4 linked regions of the Drosophila melanogaster genome follow. The gene in region 4 interacts genetically with the main gene of each other region. Each region holds a gene or a part of one and is shown on either strand. Other genes may lie near its edges.

Evidence for each region.
Region 1: of Mlf (region 4) and Su(fu), changing one enhances a phenotype caused by changing the other (phenotypic enhancement), as found in Drosophila melanogaster (one study listed by BioGRID).
Region 2: of Mlf (region 4) and DnaJ-1, changing one enhances a phenotype caused by changing the other (phenotypic enhancement), as found in Drosophila melanogaster (one study listed by BioGRID).
Region 3: of Mlf (region 4) and lz, changing one suppresses a phenotype caused by changing the other (phenotypic suppression), as found in Drosophila melanogaster (2 studies listed by BioGRID).

Annotation. Positions count from the first base shown.
Region 1 is NT_033777.3:12,689,368-12,693,360, reverse strand, and holds Su(fu) (suppressor of fused), read left to right. Parts: upstream 1-1,892; 5' UTR 1,893-1,922; coding exon 1,923-3,329; 3' UTR 3,330-3,488; downstream 3,489-3,993. Other genes in the region: CG31347 (uncharacterized protein), read left to right, coding at 811-1,242; Arp1 (Actin-related protein 1), read right to left, coding at 1-146, 206-357, 417-591, 654-718, 1,492-1,539.
Region 2 is NT_037436.4:5,749,496-5,753,762, reverse strand, and holds DnaJ-1 (DnaJ-like-1), read left to right. Parts: upstream 1-1,573; 5' UTR 1,574-2,169; coding exon 2,170-3,174; 3' UTR 3,175-3,734; downstream 3,735-4,267.
Region 3 is NC_004354.4:9,282,777-9,287,687, forward strand, and holds the start of lz (lozenge), read left to right. Parts: upstream 1-1,872; 5' UTR 1,873-1,960; intron 1,961-3,010; 5' UTR 3,011-3,144; coding exon 3,145-4,006; intron 4,007-4,911. Other genes in the region: c11.1, read right to left, coding at 17-173. UniProt on the Drosophila melanogaster protein: Involved in prepatterning photoreceptor precursors in the developing eye; in the larval eye disk it defines a subset of cells as an equipotential group that is competent to respond to the sevenless developmental signal and another subset that confer proper photoreceptor identity by positively regulating the homeo box gene Bar.
Region 4 is NT_033778.4:15,935,380-15,941,983, forward strand, and holds Mlf (Myelodysplasia/myeloid leukemia factor), read right to left. Parts: upstream 4,695-6,604; 5' UTR 4,587-4,694; coding exon 4,531-4,586; intron 4,456-4,530; exon of another isoform or gene 4,396-4,455; intron 4,072-4,395; exon of another isoform or gene 3,981-4,071; coding exon of another isoform or gene 3,931-3,980; intron 3,879-3,930; coding exon 3,658-3,878; intron 3,600-3,657; coding exon 3,068-3,599; intron 2,889-3,067; coding exon of another isoform or gene 2,876-2,888; exon of another isoform or gene 2,736-2,875; intron 2,501-2,735; coding exon 2,300-2,500; intron 1,948-2,299; coding exon of another isoform or gene 1,908-1,947; exon of another isoform or gene 1,315-1,907; intron 1,205-1,314; coding exon of another isoform or gene 1,202-1,204; coding exon 1,081-1,201; 3' UTR 514-1,080; downstream 1-513. Other genes in the region: bug (bunker gear), read left to right, coding at 1-461; CG8299 (uncharacterized protein), read right to left, coding at 5,322-6,104.

The sequences.
Region 1 (3,993 bases), on a different chromosome or scaffold from region 4:
TCTTCAGGTAGCGCGTCACATCGCGCCCGGCGATGTCCACGCGCATAATACTGTGAGGCATGGCGAATCCCTCGTAGATAGGAACCGCATGCGTCACACCGTCGCCGGAGTCGAGCACTACGCCAGTCACACGACCGGTGGCGTAGCTGCAAGAGTGTGGTTAAATGAAATCGATAGGGGCAGTTCGTGAGATTGCAATGCTTACAGACTGAGCACCGCCTGCATGGACACAAAGAGCGCAGGTGCATTGATGCCTTCAAAGAAGAACTCGGCTGCCTTTTCGCGGTTTCGGCGCGGATTAAGCGGGGCCTCGGTCAGCAGCACGGGATGATCCTCCGTGAAGGTGGCCAGTTGTTCCTGGTCAATGCCATTTAAAACATTTAGTTAAGATTATGGAACATTTATGGACAAATTACTTTGCTGTAAATGTAGCTCCATATCCGCTCCATGTCATTCCAGTCGGTGACAATGCCGTGCTCCATGGGGTACCGGATGCTAAGCAGGCCACGGTGCTCCTCCGCCTTGGGTCCAACGAATATGTCGCCCTCCAGCGCACCAGCCATCACTCGGACATGCTTGGGCCGGCCAATGCTGCAGGAGAAGGCATTAGTTCTAGGGGTTCTTAAGGTTCGTGAGTGGTCCACGGCACTTACTAATTGGGAAACCTGCATTTTGGAATGTGCTCACCAGCAAAGCCGGCTTTGATCACACCGGAGCCCTGTCAAAAGTGATGTGGAATACATTTAGTTAGTTGCGTCAGCTTATTTTATTTAAAATTCAACGTGCAAACAGGAAATCTATATAGTCAACATGGAATCCTTTAGTGTGCCGGAAGTGGACATGATGACCGTGTCAAAGAATTCGCAATACGAACGGGAATCGCTACTAAAGTTCGCACCGCCAGTTGGACTGACCAACATCAGCTACGGCAGCTTGTACAAGGTGGACTCCTTCTATTTGGAGTGCCAGAAGTACCGAGATCAATTCCGCGATCCCTACAACAAGCTGCTGCGCCCCAAGATGTTCAGCACATACAGGGGCAAGTGTGGTGTGAAGATAGATCCCGAACTGGAGCGCTTAAAGCGACCCGCTGCCTCCCATGTGGAGTCTATTCCCGTGGTTTACCCAATGGAGTACGGGCACCAAATGGACTTCGACAGAGGCTTCCAGATGCAGGGACGCAACAGCAGGGATGCAGCCACCGCCCGCAGATATCCGTGTGTGCGTGTGCTGGGCAGATAAAGGGATTCCACGCAAGCTTTATAGACCAAATTCCCCGTTTTCGCTGTCTTCACTTCCGAATTGAACCATCTCTGGCGTTTGCGGAGCTATTCTCTCTGGGATTAGTCATGTTGGCCATTTGAAGACGGCTTGAAAGCTCGTTGACAAAGGGACGGGCGGTAGGTGATGTCACTGTTTGCTGGCTAAAACTTTGGGAACCCTAGATTTGCACAAAGCTACCCGCATTTAATGAGCCCCATCTCCACTTACGTTATCTATGACGACGGGCTGGTTGACGACGACATCATAAGGCTCCATTTTGTGCGTTTATCAAAATTTGCAAATTTTCTATTAAATAGTTGGTCAACAGGGTGACCGTAGGTGGTTGGCAGAAATAAACAGCATGTAAAAATATACCACGGCAAGAAATACTCAATATTTTACATGGTGGTGGTTTAAAGCTATATGGATATATATTTTCACTGTTTTTCTCTACATTTTAAAAATAAGCAGAAAAAAGTAAGAAAGTAATAATTATTATAAAAAAGGTTTTAAAAATAAATAATGGTTTTAAAAGAAACTCATGTAAGTTTCCATTGTCAAATCCGCACTTTACATGGCAGTATTTTTATTCATGGTATATTCAAGCGGTGGTATTCCGCAACGTTCCAACTGAGGTCATACTGATCAAACTGGATGAAATGGCCGAGGCGAATTTGGACAAAAAACCTGAGGTGAAGCCTCCGCCGGGCCTTAAGGCCATCATAGACCACCTCGGGCAGGTGTACCCCAACCAGCCGAACCCGCTGCAGGTGACCACACTGCTCAAGTACTGGCTGGGCGGTCAGGATCCGTTGGACTACATTAGCATGTACAACTATCCCGGAGATGTGGATAGGAACGTTCCGCCGCACTGGCACTACATTAGTTTCGGACTCAGCGACCTACACGGGGACGAGCGAGTCCACTTGCGCGAGGAGGGCGTCACTCGGTCTGGCATGGGGTTCGAGTTGACCTTTCGCTTGGCCAAAACAGAAATAGAGCTAAAGCAGCAGATTGAGAACCCGGAAAAGCCCCAAAGACCGCCCACCTGGCCGGCGAACCTGTTGCAGGCCATCGGACGCTATTGTTTTCAAACAGGCAACGGGTTGTGCTTCGGAGACAACATCCCGTGGCGCAAGAGTCTGGATGGCAGTACCACTTCCAAGCTACAGAACCTGCTCGTCGCCCAGGACCCGCAGTTGGGCTGCATCGACACTCCCACGGGCACGGTGGACTTCTGCCAGATCGTCGGCGTCTTTGACGACGAACTTGAGCAGGCATCGCGTTGGAACGGGCGCGGTGTGCTCAACTTCCTTCGCCAAGATATGCAAACTGGCGGTGATTGGCTGGTGACTAACATGGATCGCCAGATGAGCGTCTTCGAACTGTTTCCCGAAACGCTGCTAAACCTACAGGACGATCTGGAGAAGCAGGGTTCCGATCTGGCCGGCGTTAATGCAGATTTTACGTTCCGTGAGCTGAAACCTACCAAGGAGGTGAAGGAGGAGGTGGATTTCCAGGCGCTGAGCGAGAAGTGCGCCAACGACGAAAACAATCGGCAGCTGACGGATACGCAAATGAAACGCGAGGAACCAAGCTTTCCACAATCCATGTCGATGAGCAGCAATTCGCTGCACAAGTCCTGTCCCCTGGACTTTCAAGCGCAGGCACCAAACTGCATTTCACTGGACGGTATTGAGATTACCCTCGCACCTGGTGTGGCCAAGTACCTCCTACTGGCCATCAAGGATCGCATCCGACATGGGCGCCACTTCACCTTCAAGGCTCAGCATCTGGCGCTCACTTTGGTGGCGGAATCCGTCACCGGCTCGGCGGTGACAGTGAACGAACCGTACGGCGTGCTGGGCTACTGGATTCAGGTCCTGATTCCCGATGAACTGGTGCCGCGCCTGATGGAAGACTTCCGCAGCGCGGGCCTAGACGAGAAATGCGAGCCCAAGGAGCGACTGGAGCTCGAGTGGCCCGACAAGAATCTGAAGCTGATCATCGACCAGCCGGAACCTGTGCTGCCCATGTCGCTCGACGCTGCTCCTCTGAAAATGTGATGGTGTCCATTGGTTAGCTAGTAGTTATTTAAATTAATCGAATTGAATCTTCCACTAACGAGTAAGTTTTACATTTATACATCTCATCTAACACAATGCACGTGGCCTTTGCTCCTCGCCGGAGTCCAGTCAAAATATACAAACACATACATATACCCGAAACCACTCGACGGGCCTTTGATCGCAATATGAAAAGAGGAAGCGCCGGCGCCAGGAGCGGCGAACAATTCGCCGGATGAGTCAAGTTGGGGTCAGGCTATTGAGCACTGGAACAGTTCGCTTTGGTGGCTGCGGCGGATATGGCCACTTGCAGGCGGTGGAAGTCATCGCCACCGACTAACCACCAATTGATGGTATTGCGCAGTGGACCGCCGAATGCTTCAGTTTCTAATTCTGGGAATTGATCAATTAGAAGAGCATTCAATTTGAACACAAAATCCCGCCCGGGATCATGTGATTGCGCGAGGAACTGGACCTGGAGCAGCTGCATCATCAGCCTGGCTGATGGGAAACCCTTGACGCATCGCTTGTCTGAGCGTTGCCTAGGTGAATTTTTGTTTACCGCAGAGAACAGTTGCTCTGCTTCTCCGATTAGGCGCCCCTCATCAAGTGAGCGAGCGATTTTTCGCAAAAACAGCTCGTGGAAAATAATTCAGTTTTCTTC
Region 2 (4,267 bases), on a different chromosome or scaffold from region 4:
ATTTCACTGGGGGGAACTTTTGGGTCCCTAGAACCCAGACGGATTACTCAATGAATATAGGCGATATGTTTGGGTTTACAGCGAAAGTGCTATTAATGTCGACCGTATGCTCTCTTCGATGTGCCAGCTCTCTATTTGCGGGAATGAATGACTATTTTTATGGGTCTGCCGTCGCTGCTACAATGCTGCATTGCTGCAGTGGGACATCCTTTGAACAGGCGCCATGCCAAAGGATATTCTTTGTGGAAGGGGGGGGGGGGGCAAGGGTTAAGGGTCACATTCGTTTGCGCAATACTTCCAGCGATGGGGCGGTGAACGGTGGGCGGGGCGATCGGTCAAGGCTTCGACTGTGGAACGTGACACGCATATGTCGGCCGGAGTTTGGCCCAAAAAGTGGCCCCAATGGTTGTCCTTCGCGCTGGCAATTAGTCCCTAGCAAGGCGCGTCCATATTTTGCAAAAATTCGTGGGGCGCCTTGTTTTCTTCTCTCTGTATGTGTGCATGTGTGTGTACCTCCGTCTCACTCACCTCAAGTGTGTGTGTGTGTATGAAAATACTGCGGTATACGGCTGCGTTTGTGTGTGAGTGTGGGTTTCGGCTCTACTCTCCCGATGATCCTGCTCCTCCGGTCCTAATCCCGGCCTGCTCGGCTGCTCCTGCGTCCTGACTGCGCTAGAAATTCGCTTAAAACGAGCCTCGACGGGTCATTTTTACAATTGTTTTTTGTTGTTCCGTTCGGCTGTTTTACCAGACGTGCTCGTTCCGGTGTGACTGCCCGCCGCTGACTGTAAAATACTAAACGCATTGCAGCTGTGGCAATGCCCAAGTCTTGGTCTTACGGTCACACTGGCAAAGTTTAAAAATTTATTTATTTCAACTTTCAGTTACTTTTCGTTGGCTTGAATATTACACTAAGAATTCAATTTGACACTTGCAATTTATACATTGTATATTATAATATATTATATGTATTATATTTTATATCATATAAAGATATTTATATCTATTGATCTTTTGATTATAAGCTCTTTGGTTGAACAATATAAGTGCAACTTTCTCCATCACCTTCCTATCTTTTTACAATATGCTTACCTCGTCAATACGTTTTTTCTATTTCAAATATTTCAATATTTCAAAGAAATATTTTGTTTATTTTTCTGTGTGTTTTTAAGCAATCTGACCCCTGTAGAAGAATCCCTTATAATATTAACAAATGTATCCTCAAAATAGATCGATCTCTATCTTCGCAGACTTACACGAAACATTCCAGAACCGATAGTTTTATGCGATATATGAGATTTAAGGAGTACTTTCCGCATTTCGCCATCACAGTCACGCTTTCCTTGGCATTTGCAATCAAATAAGCGCTAATAATAATCGTAAAAGCATAAGAAGCATATAAAGAAGAGTCACCGCCAAAAGCATGCACAAATATATATAAATGGGGAGCGATTTAAAAACAGTGCACTGTGTTTAAAACATCGACAGCTATCGGTTAGCATATCGATATTGACATTCGCAGTCAAACGTTTTCGAGATACAACCCTAAAATCCGAGAAGCATCCAGAAATTTCGACGTAGACGAGGGCGAACCTATAAAATGAGGTTGACGCACGAATCCCGCTCATTATTAAACAAAATTTTGAAGAGAAAGAAACTCTGAAGTAGGGTGTGTTTTTAGTGCGCAAGCCACATTTGGTGGATAAAGAAAAAAGCGAAGAAGAACAATTGAATTGAATCAATTGCGAGAAAGAGACAAAACTCATAAATATTTAAAGAACATTGCCCCGTGAAAATATAAATAGTGTGAATACACAGTGAACAATACCAACAATTGCACTTTGCCATTGCATTTTGCACTTTTCCACTTGGATTTTTGAACTTTTACGGATTCCCAGACAATCGCTTACATTTAAGGTAAGCTTCGTTGGACATATTGCCACATGTGGGCGCATCGATTTGATCTGCTGAAAGAAGCACATCGGGAGCGGAGCTCTCGTTGATGGTGACTACATACGTCACTCGCGTGACAACACGGCAGTTGCACAACTGTGCTGTTCTGTGCTTCTAGCACTTTCCATCGCCCCAACCCAGCAAGCTGGCAATCAGTATTCATTCTAATCTATAGCGTTCGTTCGTTTGTGTTTCCCCTATATTTTCAGCTGAGAGATGGGCAAAGACTTCTACAAGATTCTGGGCCTCGAGCGCAAGGCCAGCGACGATGAGATCAAGAAGGCCTACCGCAAACTGGCACTCAAATACCATCCCGACAAGAACAAGAGCCCACAGGCGGAGGAGCGCTTCAAGGAGATCGCCGAGGCGTACGAGGTGCTGTCGGACAAAAAGAAGCGCGACATCTTCGACAATTACGGTGAGGATGGATTGAAGGGCGGACAGCCGGGACCAGATGGCGGCGGTCAGCCGGGAGCGTACACTTACCAGTTCCACGGCGATCCGAGGGCCACATTTGCCCAGTTCTTTGGATCGTCGGATCCGTTTGGCGCGTTCTTTACCGGCGGCGATAACATGTTTAGTGGCGGTCAGGGCGGCAATACCAACGAGATCTTCTGGAACATTGGCGGCGACGATATGTTTGCCTTTAATGCCCAGGCACCCAGTCGCAAGCGCCAGCAGGATCCGCCCATCGAGCATGATCTGTTCGTGTCGCTGGAGGAAGTGGACAAGGGATGCATCAAGAAGATGAAAATCTCACGCATGGCCACCGGAAGCAATGGGCCGTACAAGGAGGAGAAGGTGCTGAGGATCACAGTGAAGCCGGGCTGGAAGGCCGGTACCAAGATTACCTTCCCCCAAGAGGGTGATTCGGCGCCAAACAAGACGCCAGCTGACATCGTCTTCATCATTCGCGACAAACCGCATTCGCTGTTCAAACGCGAGGGAATCGATCTAAAGTATACAGCCCAGATCAGTCTGAAGCAGGCCTTGTGCGGAGCACTGGTTAGTGTGCCCACGCTGCAGGGCAGCAGGATACAGGTGAATCCGAACCACGAGATCATCAAGCCCACCACAACGCGCCGGATCAACGGACTGGGTCTGCCGGTGCCCAAGGAGCCATCGAGGCGCGGCGATCTGATCGTCTCCTTCGACATTAAGTTTCCCGACACACTGGCACCCAGTCTGCAGAATCAGCTGTCCGAGCTGCTGCCCAACTAGGCTAGAGCTGTGCCAGCCACACACACACACACACACACGCATATAATTGTTATCACTTTAGTTAAGGCCTATATTTAATTTACCGTACGTACTCGTAAGACAACTTAGCCTAACCAATTGTAGCCCTAAGCTAGTGAGTGTGCCAAGCGAAGAGCTGTAGATATTGGCCGAGGATGCAAGCGCTGGATAGGATTAGGAAAGAGAACAACACACACACACACACACACATAAAGCAGCCCGTGTAGCCCGTTTCGTGTTGGAGACTGATCGATTATTAGCTATTTAGCATTACACAAATTCCATAAGTTGTTTTGTTTACCGCCACATGAATCGGTGCCTCAACATCTTATACATAATAATCCCAAAACAAAATATTAAATAAATGAGGTATTATAAATTTAAAGTAACTAACCATTTTTCAAGCAAAGCACATTTTCGGCATTCCAACACGGGGAGGTTACATCAGTTAGTAGAACACTTATAGATTTATACGCCGTAAGGACATAGTACGTTTTAGTACCAATTCTATTATGTTATAAACAATAAAATTACTTATACACACATCAAGTGTCGTTTCTGGGTCAGTGGGTTGCAAGCATTATAGAAATTGCTAGATTTCACGTGGTGGCAATCAAAATGTGGTGGCTAAAACCAAAACAACATGTATTGCTGGCAATTTCTTCTATTTTTAAATATATATAACTAGCGCGCCAAACAATTCAAAAGTCTCCACATGTGGAAACTTCCAGAGGGCAACACGCCACCTGGCGTGTATAGATCGTGTGTTACATTTCAAAAACCATCTGGCATCACTGGCAACGTTTGTTTAAAACGTCGAGTGGAAAAGATGAAATTTAAAATAAAATCGTTGTTTAAAATCCTTTTTCCAAAACCTGAAATCCCCGAAAGCCAAAAAGAGAATCAATAAAAAGAAATTCCATGTTAATTTTATTTTAAATTTCACATTTTATTTTCATTTGTTTTCTCTTCAAAAGGATTTCGTAATTTAATCATTTGTCACACATTTTCACTATCCTTATGTTGAGTGTTAAGTTGCATTTGCAATTGTATAATCATTGTGTATTTCTTTTTA
Region 3 (4,911 bases), on a different chromosome or scaffold from region 4:
ATTTTCGTTTGCTTACCTTCCAGAATCGTTGGCTTATCATTGGGCGCCGCTGTGGCGGTAGATGCATCGGCATTTCCAGTGGCGGCGCTATTTCCAGCAGCTGATTTGTTGTTGGCGGATCCTCCCCCTGTGGCAGCACCACTACCACCGCCGCCAACCCCTCGGCCGTCCATCTTCTTGGTGGAATTGCGCGTTCTCTTCCACTTCTCCAGCTTAACGGGATTTCAGACAGCGATTAACTTTAACGCGCACTTCGCGATCGCGGAAAAACTCGGAAAAACAAGAGATTCACTGCGTTGCGAAATTGTTTGTGTTTAAAACGGGTGGCTGCACTCACATAGGGGAAAAACGGCTGTGGAAATTTTAGTACGTTTTTTATCAACACCATGGACTAGTTGGGCTTCCGAACATGGTGTGTGCCCTCACTGTTCAGTGGTGGCGCAAACCATAGATGACCATAAAAATGAAATTCAAATGTACTGTGTATAAAATAATAGTTATGCATACAGTCTCGTTTTATTATACGGAATTAGCAATTAAGTAAATTTTAAATTTTAAGCTACACAGGCAGTACAGCATACTAATACAATATTAAAGGAAAAAACGCTTTTGAGGTAGTTTTGAAAGTATTTGAGAGCAATTGAAATGCTTAATTTTAATCACTTGATAGCACTTCTGAAATTAAATAGCATAGACATTTGATTTTCTCGCAATTTCTGCCCTCGCAGATAAGCTGACGTTCTTCTCACGCTATTATATTCCCAGCGATAAGAACTATTTCCCTTCGATGTGATAAGTCGGAGGTAAATTTAAAATAAACACTTTTTAAAATCATAAGAACTCTGCGTTGTTATTTTAATTCGATATCAGTATTTCGACCACAAACCAAGGCTGAACCACAAAATATGGCCCAATGATAGTCTCTTATCACGCCTTTCCTTCGCTAAAAAGAACACATGTCATTTGGAATCCTTGTTTTCTTTGCGCTAGCAACAACACACAGTTTTTAATTAACACTTTTTGCGATAATAGCAGATTTGATAAGCATGTTAAGTATCAGTTTTAAAGTAGATTCTCTGATTTTCATCTCTAATATCCAAAATGTATCTATATGAATACAATTTTCCATAAGTGCGTTTTAAATACATGTATGTTAAATTTTAAATAAAATAATAAAAAAAAAAACACAACTTATTTATTTTCTCATGAAAATCTAATCATATCCAGCTCCTAAATATTTTCGAAATTTCCCGGCTGAACAAGAGCGCCGCTCTTAAGTCGTCACGCTCTCAGCTGATTAAAGAGAGCGCGCTTAAATGCGATTCCAATTGGAAGTGGTTGCAGCCGGTGGTGGATGAAAATGTGTCCACCAATGGCGCGCCTCAAATGCCATGTCCACCTGACCAATCAGAATCCGGGGGCGGTGCCAAGTGCAAGGGAAACGCAGGAGCGAGCGAGAGGGAGAGCAACTGTTTATTTGATTAAGCATTTAAATTCTATTATTTTTAGCGAAATTTATTAAAAATTTGATGCAACAGCACTGCGTGGAATGGTGACTTGTCACAATGCACATACTAGGCCATGCATTTACAGAAGAGCAAGAGAGAGAGAGAGAGAGAGAGAGCGAGCAACTTAAGAGACCCAAAACGCCCCGGCCAAAGAGAGTCGTTCTCGTTCCAATTGGCTCGCGAGGCAAGTGGAAAAACGATTGGATTCGACTCAGAGCCGAGCTCAATCGTCTCGCGAAATTCAAGCGGCGCAGTCAAAAGTTAAAAGTCAGTTTCAGTTATGTTTTGGAGTACGACGCGCGAGCATTATTGTTTCCATTGTTAGCGAAGTTTTTAATCGACTGAAAGAAACACAAGAAAATAACACCTCGCTTACGTGTTAACCCTTTTTTTTTGTAACTTGTGCTTAAGTCACTTAAAGAAATACCGAAGAAAGTAAACTAAGTGTGTGTGTAAGTGTTAAACAAAGTAGTAAACAAAAAGCGCGCCAAAATCGGCTAACTTTTAGTTATTAACTCGAATTTCGTCACCAACTAAATTTAAACAAAAGAGCGACACAGTTTCGCCAGAAACTTGCATTCAAACATATTGTTAAACAGTTTTACATTAAACTAAACACAAACCAAAGTGCTATTAAGTGCAGTTAGTAACAAAATAAAAGTGATAAATGGTGACACAAACGAATTAAGGCAATGTTTTTATGACAAAAACTTAAGTTCATATTTTTTAAGGCTTTATTTTGCGACTGTGAAATAATTTGTTTACTTTGTTGCTTGTTCTCAAACAAATAATATACAATAGTAATTGTAAAAGCTTCTTATACATTGTTTGAATAAACAAATAACTGACTCTTTTACAACCATTTATGATTACTTGGGAGATCAGTTGTGAACATTAAATGTTTATATTGTACTATATTGTTTTTACACCGATTCCCAGAAATATCATCAAAGTTAAACTCGAGAAAAGGAGGCCCGTCTGCGAATCGGGAGTCAAACATAGAGTATTACTAATTAGCCGAGTGAAGTGCAAACAATAAAAATATCCAAATCAAACGAAATCAAATTTAATTAAGTTCAGAAATCATCTGGCAAAAGCATGCTCAAAAAAGAGAAAGAAAAAACAACAATAGCAACAAATGCACCGCTAATTCCTGTGACTAATTTATCAAAGTGCGAACTAGCAAAATGTCGATCGTCGTAGTACTCGCAGTTATTTAATATGTATTCAGAAAGGCAAACATATTTTTAATCATTTTTTAAATTTATATATATTGTTTTTTGCAATTATTTCTTTATTTAAACGTACGCCAGTGAACTGTTTCTATATGTACTTTAATTAAATTGCTTAATATGAAACAAATTTGAGATGTTGTCATGGATTGTTTTTAATGAATCGATCGGCATTTTAAGTTTTCAATTAAACACGAATCTTTCTCATATCGTAAGTGCAATTGCAAACAATTGTTAAGTACGCTTTTTTTTTTCTGTGAATTCGTTTAGAGATTAGAGTTTATTGATGAGTGAACAAAAGACACCGCCGGAGCGAAGTGTGATAAGCGCTTGACCTGCGACCCGCACACACTGCAAGAAAAAAAGGGGCAAGCGAGCGGATCAAAGGTCACCGCCGTCGACGAATGCATTTGCATCTCCTGGCGGCAGAGAAGACGCCTCCATCTCCATCTCCAAATCCAACTCCAACTCCATCAGCATCTCCATCTGGGCATACGGGCGCTGCTGGGGAGTCGCAATTGGACTTGGCATCGCAAACGGAATCGCAATTGCAGCTGGGCTTGCCATTGGCTTCCGGATACGGACTCGGACTCGGATTGGGACTGGGCTTGGGATTGGGACTGGGCCAGGAATTGGTGGCGGACCACAGCACCACTGTGGCGCCCGTCAGCGTTGCCGGTCCCGGCCGCCTGGGTCGCAGCATCAACGGCAGCGGCGGCAGCCACCACCATCACCACCTGCACCACCACTACTCACCGTACCACCACGCCCACCCCTACCACCCACCGCATCCGCACGCGCCCCACCACCACCACCACCACCACCCACCGTATCCGTATCCGCCGGCAGGACCACATCCGCCGGCCATGGTCACATCGTCATCCACATCGCCGACGGGCAACGGCTGGAGCAGCTCCACCGGCGACTTCAAGGGCATCACAGCGGTGGCGACGGCCACTGGCGGCGGCGTAGGTGGTGCCACCCAGGGCGCCACTGCATCCACGGGCGCCACAGCCGCTGAGGTTTTGGCCGTTTCGAGTAGTGCCAGTGTTGGCAGCAGCTCGCCCACAGGTGGCGCCAGCAATGGTACAGCCCATAGTGGGCATAGTGGACACACCGGCGGTCACAGCAGTAGTACCGCCAGCAACAACAACAACAACGGTGCCAGCAATAGCAATAGCAACAATAACAACGCCGTTCACCAGGATCTATTGTGGATGGAGCGATTGGTACAGAAGCGACAACAGGAACATCCCGGCGAATTGGGTGAGTTGTTGGTGGGATATTACCAATAACCTAGTAGTAACACAGTCTGCAAAAGGGTTAAGGATTAATAGCTACCTTAATGTCCTTCAAAATCAAAGTGAATATGAAGATATAGTCTAACTGGATTTGTAATTTCCCGTGAACAAAATTGATTGAACAGAGGGATTTAGCTTACTAACTGTAAATAGCAAATTCTTTGCTACCAGATTCCCAATATGATCTATGGTTCTTGATATAATATATCTTATGAATATAAGATTGATAGATAGATATATATATCAAGGCAAGCCTCTGCGGAGACAGCTCTTCCATTCACAAGGTATCAGCATCTTTAGCTCGTGTCGAGGGGATCTGGTGGATGCTTTGCAGGTCTGTTCGATAATCCGATCCCCGAAAGGTGGAGCGCACATTCTTGCCACATCCTTGCACAATGCACTTCTGGGGCTTCCACATCGTGGCAATCACGATCATCGGACGCAGCCTTATCGGATTCCATGGGTATGATGATCGTGATGATGATACCGATGGCGATGATGATGGTGATGCCAGTGAAGATGGGACTGGCATCGCCGTCGGAATATGCGTAAATTGATATCAATAATTGTTATTGATATCAACGCACGAGTCGTTCCCCTTTTTTATTTTGTTAATGCCACCTTTTTTTTTTTTTTCTTATTCCTTGCTGCCCGTTGAACTTTCCTCCCGATTTATCAATGATATCAATGACCCAGAGCGAAAGCTGCTAATGAAATCTCAGCTCATCGCACCGTCAGTCTTGAAATTAGCTGGGGAATCCGCAAACTGGTTATCCTATATGATTTTTTTTTTCACTTCTGAGTCCTTTCATAACTTGTGCTCAATGGATAGCCTTCATATCGAATTGCAACTATCAGGACTTTACACTC
Region 4 (6,604 bases):
GCGCTCGTGTGGCTTCGATGGTCAACGTGCTGCCCCATTACTTTCCCACGCTACCCATCGCCTATGTGGATGCCTATGAGTTTGGTCGTTTCAATGCAGAATTCGGCATCGTTTCGCTGCCCACACTGATGCTATTCCACCAGGGCAGGCCGCTAATCAAATTCGAGCCCGGGTGGAAGGACACAAAGAGCAGCTTTGCCAGTTTCATAATGAGTCACACCAATATGAAGACTGTGAATCCGCAGGCCATTGATCCGATCATCCTCACTCGCGCAGAGATGGAGCCGCTGTCTAATAAACCCATTGTGCAGACGGATTACTATTTGGGCCTGGCTTGGGCCTTTATTCTCGTCTGCCTTGCCAACTTCCTGCGTAAGACGGCGCTCTGGAAGCAGCTGGTAGAGATGGTGCAGCGCATTTGGCGGGAATCCGAGGAGACGCAAATGGAGATGGTGGACTAGTTAGTTAATACGTTTAATTCTCTATAAGTCGCATAAGTAGAACACTGGATTTACTATTATAATGTAATTACCATTTAATTAAATTCACGTTAACATTTACTTAGGCCTTACGAATTACATGTATTTGGGGAATTGGTAATTGTTGTTTTCTATCGTTCGGAGCCTTCAAATCAATTGTGTTCATTTGCACGCTAACTGGCATCCATAATTTAAAGCTTAGTGGCTAACAAAATCTAAAAACTTGAGAATTAATCAAATAATTCAAACTTATAATTACGATTTCATATATATTCCATTACTTTCATTGAATTTTTCGATTAGGTCTGAGAGTGTGTGTTGTAATGATTTCGGCGTTGAATAGTCACATTTGTTTTAAGTAAATTTAAGCAAGTTGTTCTGTATCCTGCGTGCACATCAATAGCATCTTGAAGTTGTACATTTTTTAGTGTTGCATTCTGGTCGACTCACGCAGGATAAGACAGAACTGGTAAAGAATTGTGTTTGTTAAAAAATATTTGAATTGGTTTTCCTGCTATGGAACAGAACCCAACGCTTTGCTTCCTAGTGTTTTTGAGTGTGCGATGCGGAAGATGTTGGCATACAGATGATCACGTTTCTACTACTTCTTCTTGCCGCGCTTGACCGCCTTGTAGGAGCTGGCCGCTTCGTCCTCCGTGTGAAAATGTTTTACGGCACGTTGTTGGCGCCTCGGATTGGCGGCATAGGGATGTGGATGTATGCTGCTGGCGGAGCAGAAACAAATGTTCATTAATTAACAGAAACGATTAATTAGAATAAGGCACAATACAAAACAAAAGGTATACATAATAATCATTCGTACACAGGCCAATTCGAACGCAAGTGAAAATTTATTAACAGGAAGAGAAGGTCAAAGGGAGCATTAATGGATGATGTGGGCAAGCGAGTGATGGATTCGTAGGATTCGCGCATTATGTCGTTCAGTGGTGGCGCAGCAACAGCAGCAGCAACATAGTTCAAATTTTGATTATCGTCGATGGCCAATTGGGCGTCGCGTAGTGTGGTGGTATATCGTCGAGTGTGGCTCTCGCAGATTGCGGTCTACATGCTATACGGATAGGCAGGCGATGCTCTTTCGGGCGGGTCAAAATGCGAGTATGCAGACAGAGAGTTAGATGTGTATGGGAAGGTGCGGCCTTACACGTAGCTTGCGGCCATAGTCTTGAGCTGCCGGCACGGCACGTAGATGTGGTGTTGCTGCTGTTCGAAGTTCGAAGTACTTGTGGCGATGAAGCGGAGCTGAGCTGAGCGGATCGTAGCGTTGGTGGCGCCTTCGGTTAGTAGAGTGCATGTAGTTACGTCGAAGACAGCCGAATGTCGAGTGTTTCTCGTTGTTGACTTTATTACTTATGATATTTATCTGGATTAGCATAGGTTTCATTTTATGTATTTGGTACTGTATCCGCTCTACTTGCGGTGGTACCGCGAATTATAAATACGCCAATCTCTGCATGATTTGGAAAGTACAAAATGTTGATGGAGAAGAGAAGAGAGAGCGATATGTCGTTAATACACTTGGGTAAATGGTATATTAGAAGATCAAGATCGTTGCTACCCATGAAGTCGAGTTCGAAAAGAATAAGCAGTATTGGTTTCAATAAATCATTAACGTTGTTGTTACAAAAGCGTTGTCAACCATTTGTCGGACCACAAAACCCCGGCATCAAACTTCGGCTGTCCGAAGACGTTTTTCGGTTAGGACTATACAAGCAGATAGAAATGAGGTTCGAAGCTGACATAGTCTATGTAACTAGGTTAATCCCGTATTGCCGGCTCCTGCCGATCCCAACTGAACAAACCTTGGAGAAGTGGACACCGTAGCCAGCGGCGAGGATGGGGGTGTCCTTAGTGGGCGGCGCGGCGTGGCCAGGCTATGCCCATGCCCATTTCGCAGGTACGAACGACGAGAGCTCACGTAGTTATTGTTGTTTCCGTTGCTTGTATCGTAGGTTGTTGGCGAGGATGTTGGTGTTGGTGCTGCTGCTGTTGCAATGTTGCCACTGCGTCGATGTCGTAGGTAGTTGTCGTAGTATGGAATCGAGTCGAAGAAAAGTTGAAAAAGATTACAACAATACTTTTGGGGGTCTGGGACTATGCTAGTTGGCGATCCAGTTCATTCAACGCGAAGCATTTGTACGTCGTGAGTGGGTGAGAGATCATGGCGAACGAAATAAGTCGTGGGCAAAACGAAAACTGAACAAACGAAAGATGTTGAGAGCTTAAGTTGCCGCCTACCTCTGTGCATTCTATGATTTCGATTCGATATTCGTTTCGTTTGAACGCAGTTGGGAATGTAATTAGCAGAAATTTATAGTATGCAATTCTGTTTCTGTTTTATCGGATAGTTAGTAAAATATACTGTATTGACTTTAGATTTAGTAATTATATCTGCAAGTAAATACAAACGTTTCAATTTAGCAACAGTTGTGTGAGGAGGAGGTGTGGTTAGTTGGGGGAATCTTCGGATCGGGCGGGCTTCAGCAAATGCTAGTCGGCTAATCCTACACAATCACGCGCACGGAACAGGGATTCGGGTGTAGATGTGACGTTAATCCCTTCTCACTCACCTGTTCTGCGGTGCCGTTGGCGCACTGGAATAATGGCGGCCCGCGGAGGAGCGAACCGGTTGCTGCTCCTGGATTACACAGTCATCATCATCGTCGTCGTCGTCCTCCACTGGCTCAATGGTCAACGTCGAGGTGTGTGCCGCTGGACGGGCGGGCATGATGGCCTGCATGCCACCAGCATGATGTCTTGACTGCACCGCTCCGCGACTAGCGCGCGATGTAAACTCCCTGTCAAACTGCTCGGCTTCTCCCTCCTCCAGATTAATGAACTCCTGGCGCTCCTCCAGTTGTCCTGAGCGCATGTCCTGCTCTTTCTCAATAATGTGTGCCCGCTCGCCGATGTGATGACCAATGGCCATCTTCTTCACCCCAGTGCGCGAGTCCTGCACCGTCCTGCGGGTCTCACGAACGCCTCCCGGTCCTGTTTTGGTACTAGTGCTGGCCTGGTAGATCTGAGGACGCCCATCGGGACCCGATGACATGGTCATCACGGTGCTCTGGCAGAAGGATGCGCCTGAATTGCCACCAATATCTGAAATACAATGGTTTTGTATGGTGCTCTTAACGGCGAAAGACCATTGAATACTCACCAGCGTTCAACAGGCGATTAAAGTTTGGCATCATGGGCATGCCGAAGAGGCCCATGGCTGGCATGGCCGGCATCTGCGGACGCTCCATGAGAGCGTTCTGCTGGAATCCCTGGTCAAAGGGCGAGACCTGCATGAAGGGATCGGGCATAAAGCTGTTCATCAGGCGATTCATCGAGCGCATCTGCATGTTCATCGCGTTCATAGTGTGGTTCATGTGGTTGCTGCAAACGAAAGATGAGTAACTTAGTGATACTTGACTGATGTGCGAGTTACTGGAGCTCCATTTGTGAACGGTTTGATTTGCTTTTACGTTTTTGTTTCATTTTAAACTGAGCCGAAATTAAGTTTTAAACAAAGCCAAACTAAATGACTTGTGGCCAAATATCGCAGTATAGTGATAAAGGCAGCGTAGCCTACGTATATACATAAAATAGGGTCTGATAGCCTGCCTTTACATGGGTCACTTTGCGGTTGGGCCTTATCAAAAGTCCCAGTGACAGGGCGAAACCTTTGAAATAACGCCTGCTAGTGCATTTTCCCCAATTCCATTTCCCTGCGGTCGCTCGATTCAAATTATCGATTATTACGTCTTCACTTCACGCATGCTGCGCACACACACACACGCACACTCCGATGGTTACTGTTAATTTTGGCACGCTATTTATTGCTAATTTTTGGGCACGTAAATATGTTTAATTGGCCTAATTGTGTGCCTATGGGCCAATTAATGATTTACACCTTGTTTTGCGATTATTTGGCTGTTTTTCCACGCCCCAAGAGGGCTTCGTTAGCTGCACACGTATGGAAATATATGGGGCTTCTGCGGGGCGAGCCGCATTTATTTAGTTTTTTTTTGCGCCATTTGGTACTTACTTCATAAGGCCGAGATCGTCGTCGAAATCACCCATCAACGCTCCGAATAAAGACATTTTTGTGGATTGTGTTGGCTTTCTGTTGCTCGAATTTTCTTCTTTCCGTATGCAGAATTTTCACGAATATTTTCTTTGTCAGTGTGGCTGAATCTTACTGGCTTAAATACCAGCGACGTCTACCACGAAAGTATATACTAGCTCTAAAAAATACCAGAAGCCGTTAATATTTAAAAACAAAATCTTCCTAATTATTTTAAATTTTTAAGATTTAAACAAATGTAATCTTACTCGAATACGTTAAACTATCTGCAAACGGTAAATTTCTAATATTGTGGATATTATTTGATTGCATCAAGTCAAATATAAATGTCACAAATAAATAATAATGATACTTCAAGCCACATTTACATATTTTATAATTTTAATTTCTGCATTGAGTTATTCTAAAATGATGCAATCAAACGATTTTGTAAAGTATAAAATTTATGGTTAGTTACATTGTACTTTTTCCCTTCCTCAAGATAAATTGCCTTCACCTATGCCAATTGGGTAATAATTTTATTTTTATATAAATCGTCGAGAATGGCTTATAGATTCCAATGTAATGGTCAGATAAAAAAGGTTTTTGATTAGGAAAACCAGTTGAAATGAAGAGTTAAACACCGTATATTAATTTGTAAATATATTATAAACCATGTTTTCTAAATGCTCATTTCATATTTATTATTGTGGTAAAATAATAATTTGTTCGATTTATTTGTTCGCGTTGTGCTTGTGAAGCTATCCACATTTTTAGAGATACGCCTCCGCCTGCTCTTCGATCCAATCGATATGGGAATTGACGCTGGTGTAGACACCCGGGAATCCTTCCCTGCCGCAACCCACGCCCCAGGACACCACACCCACCAGGACTCCGTCCACGGCCAAGGGTCCACCGGAATCGCCGTTGCAGGTGTCCTTGCCGCCCTCCAGATAGCCGGCGCAGAGCATCTCATCGGTCACCGTGTAGTCCTTGGTCAGATACTGGGCACCGCAGGTGCTCTTCTCGATGATCTGCAGCTCAACGGCGCGCAGCATGGCGGGCAGAGCTTCATCATCTTCAGCCCGCTTGCCCCAACCACTTACAACGGCCTGGGCACCCGACGGCGGTGCCTCCAGGGCCACAGCAATGGGTTGCACCAGGGCTGAGTACTCCAATGGCTCGCGAGTGATGATCAAACCGATATCATTCACATACGTTTTCTTATTGTAGCCGGCATGGGGGATCAGTTTGCTGACCTTAACACCCTGCTCCTCCAGATCGGCAATCGAGTTCTGACCAGCCACGATCCGGATGTACGAGGCATAGCGTCCCTTGATGCAGTGGGCGGCGGTGATGACGACCCGTGGTGCATAGATGCTACCACCGCAGATGTGGAGCAGCATGTAGGTCTCCAGGCGAACGGACACCTGGTACGGAAAGTCAGCGATGTCCGCCTGATCGCCACCAACAATGTGGGTGCTTATGGAGGCGGAATCCGTGAGAATTACCACACCAAGTGCAGCCAAAAGAAACAAACCCAAACGTAGCGACATGGTTAAACTTAAAGTGTGGTTCGATTTAGGTCTCTTATATAGGGCTGGAGTAGCCAGCTTATCACTTATCACCAAAATGGCGAATTTAGCGATCATCCATGATTGGTATTTTGGATTTTCATAAACTTCTGCTATGATATCGTAAAGTTTATACGACTTGCAGCTCAATTCGTTTTATATCCATTATAAACTGGGCGGTGGTCTTCTAAAGACCCAAATGGCCAGAAAGCCAACTGGCCAGAAAGTCAACTGACCAAAAAGTCAACTGGCCAGCTAAGGAGAACACAAATGGGGATTATCAGCAAAGCGATCCGTTGAGTCATCGATCGACTCTATTTCATTTGCCACTGAACTTTAATCGTCCCGAATGACGAAGGCGTCTAGTCGATGGCTGTAATCTCAATCTCCATGTGCTCCATGGAATCGTGTCTTCAGATAAGTGGTGTTGGAAAAGCAGGCTGAGATTTATTTACCATATTAATCGGTGGTGCACGAGAACT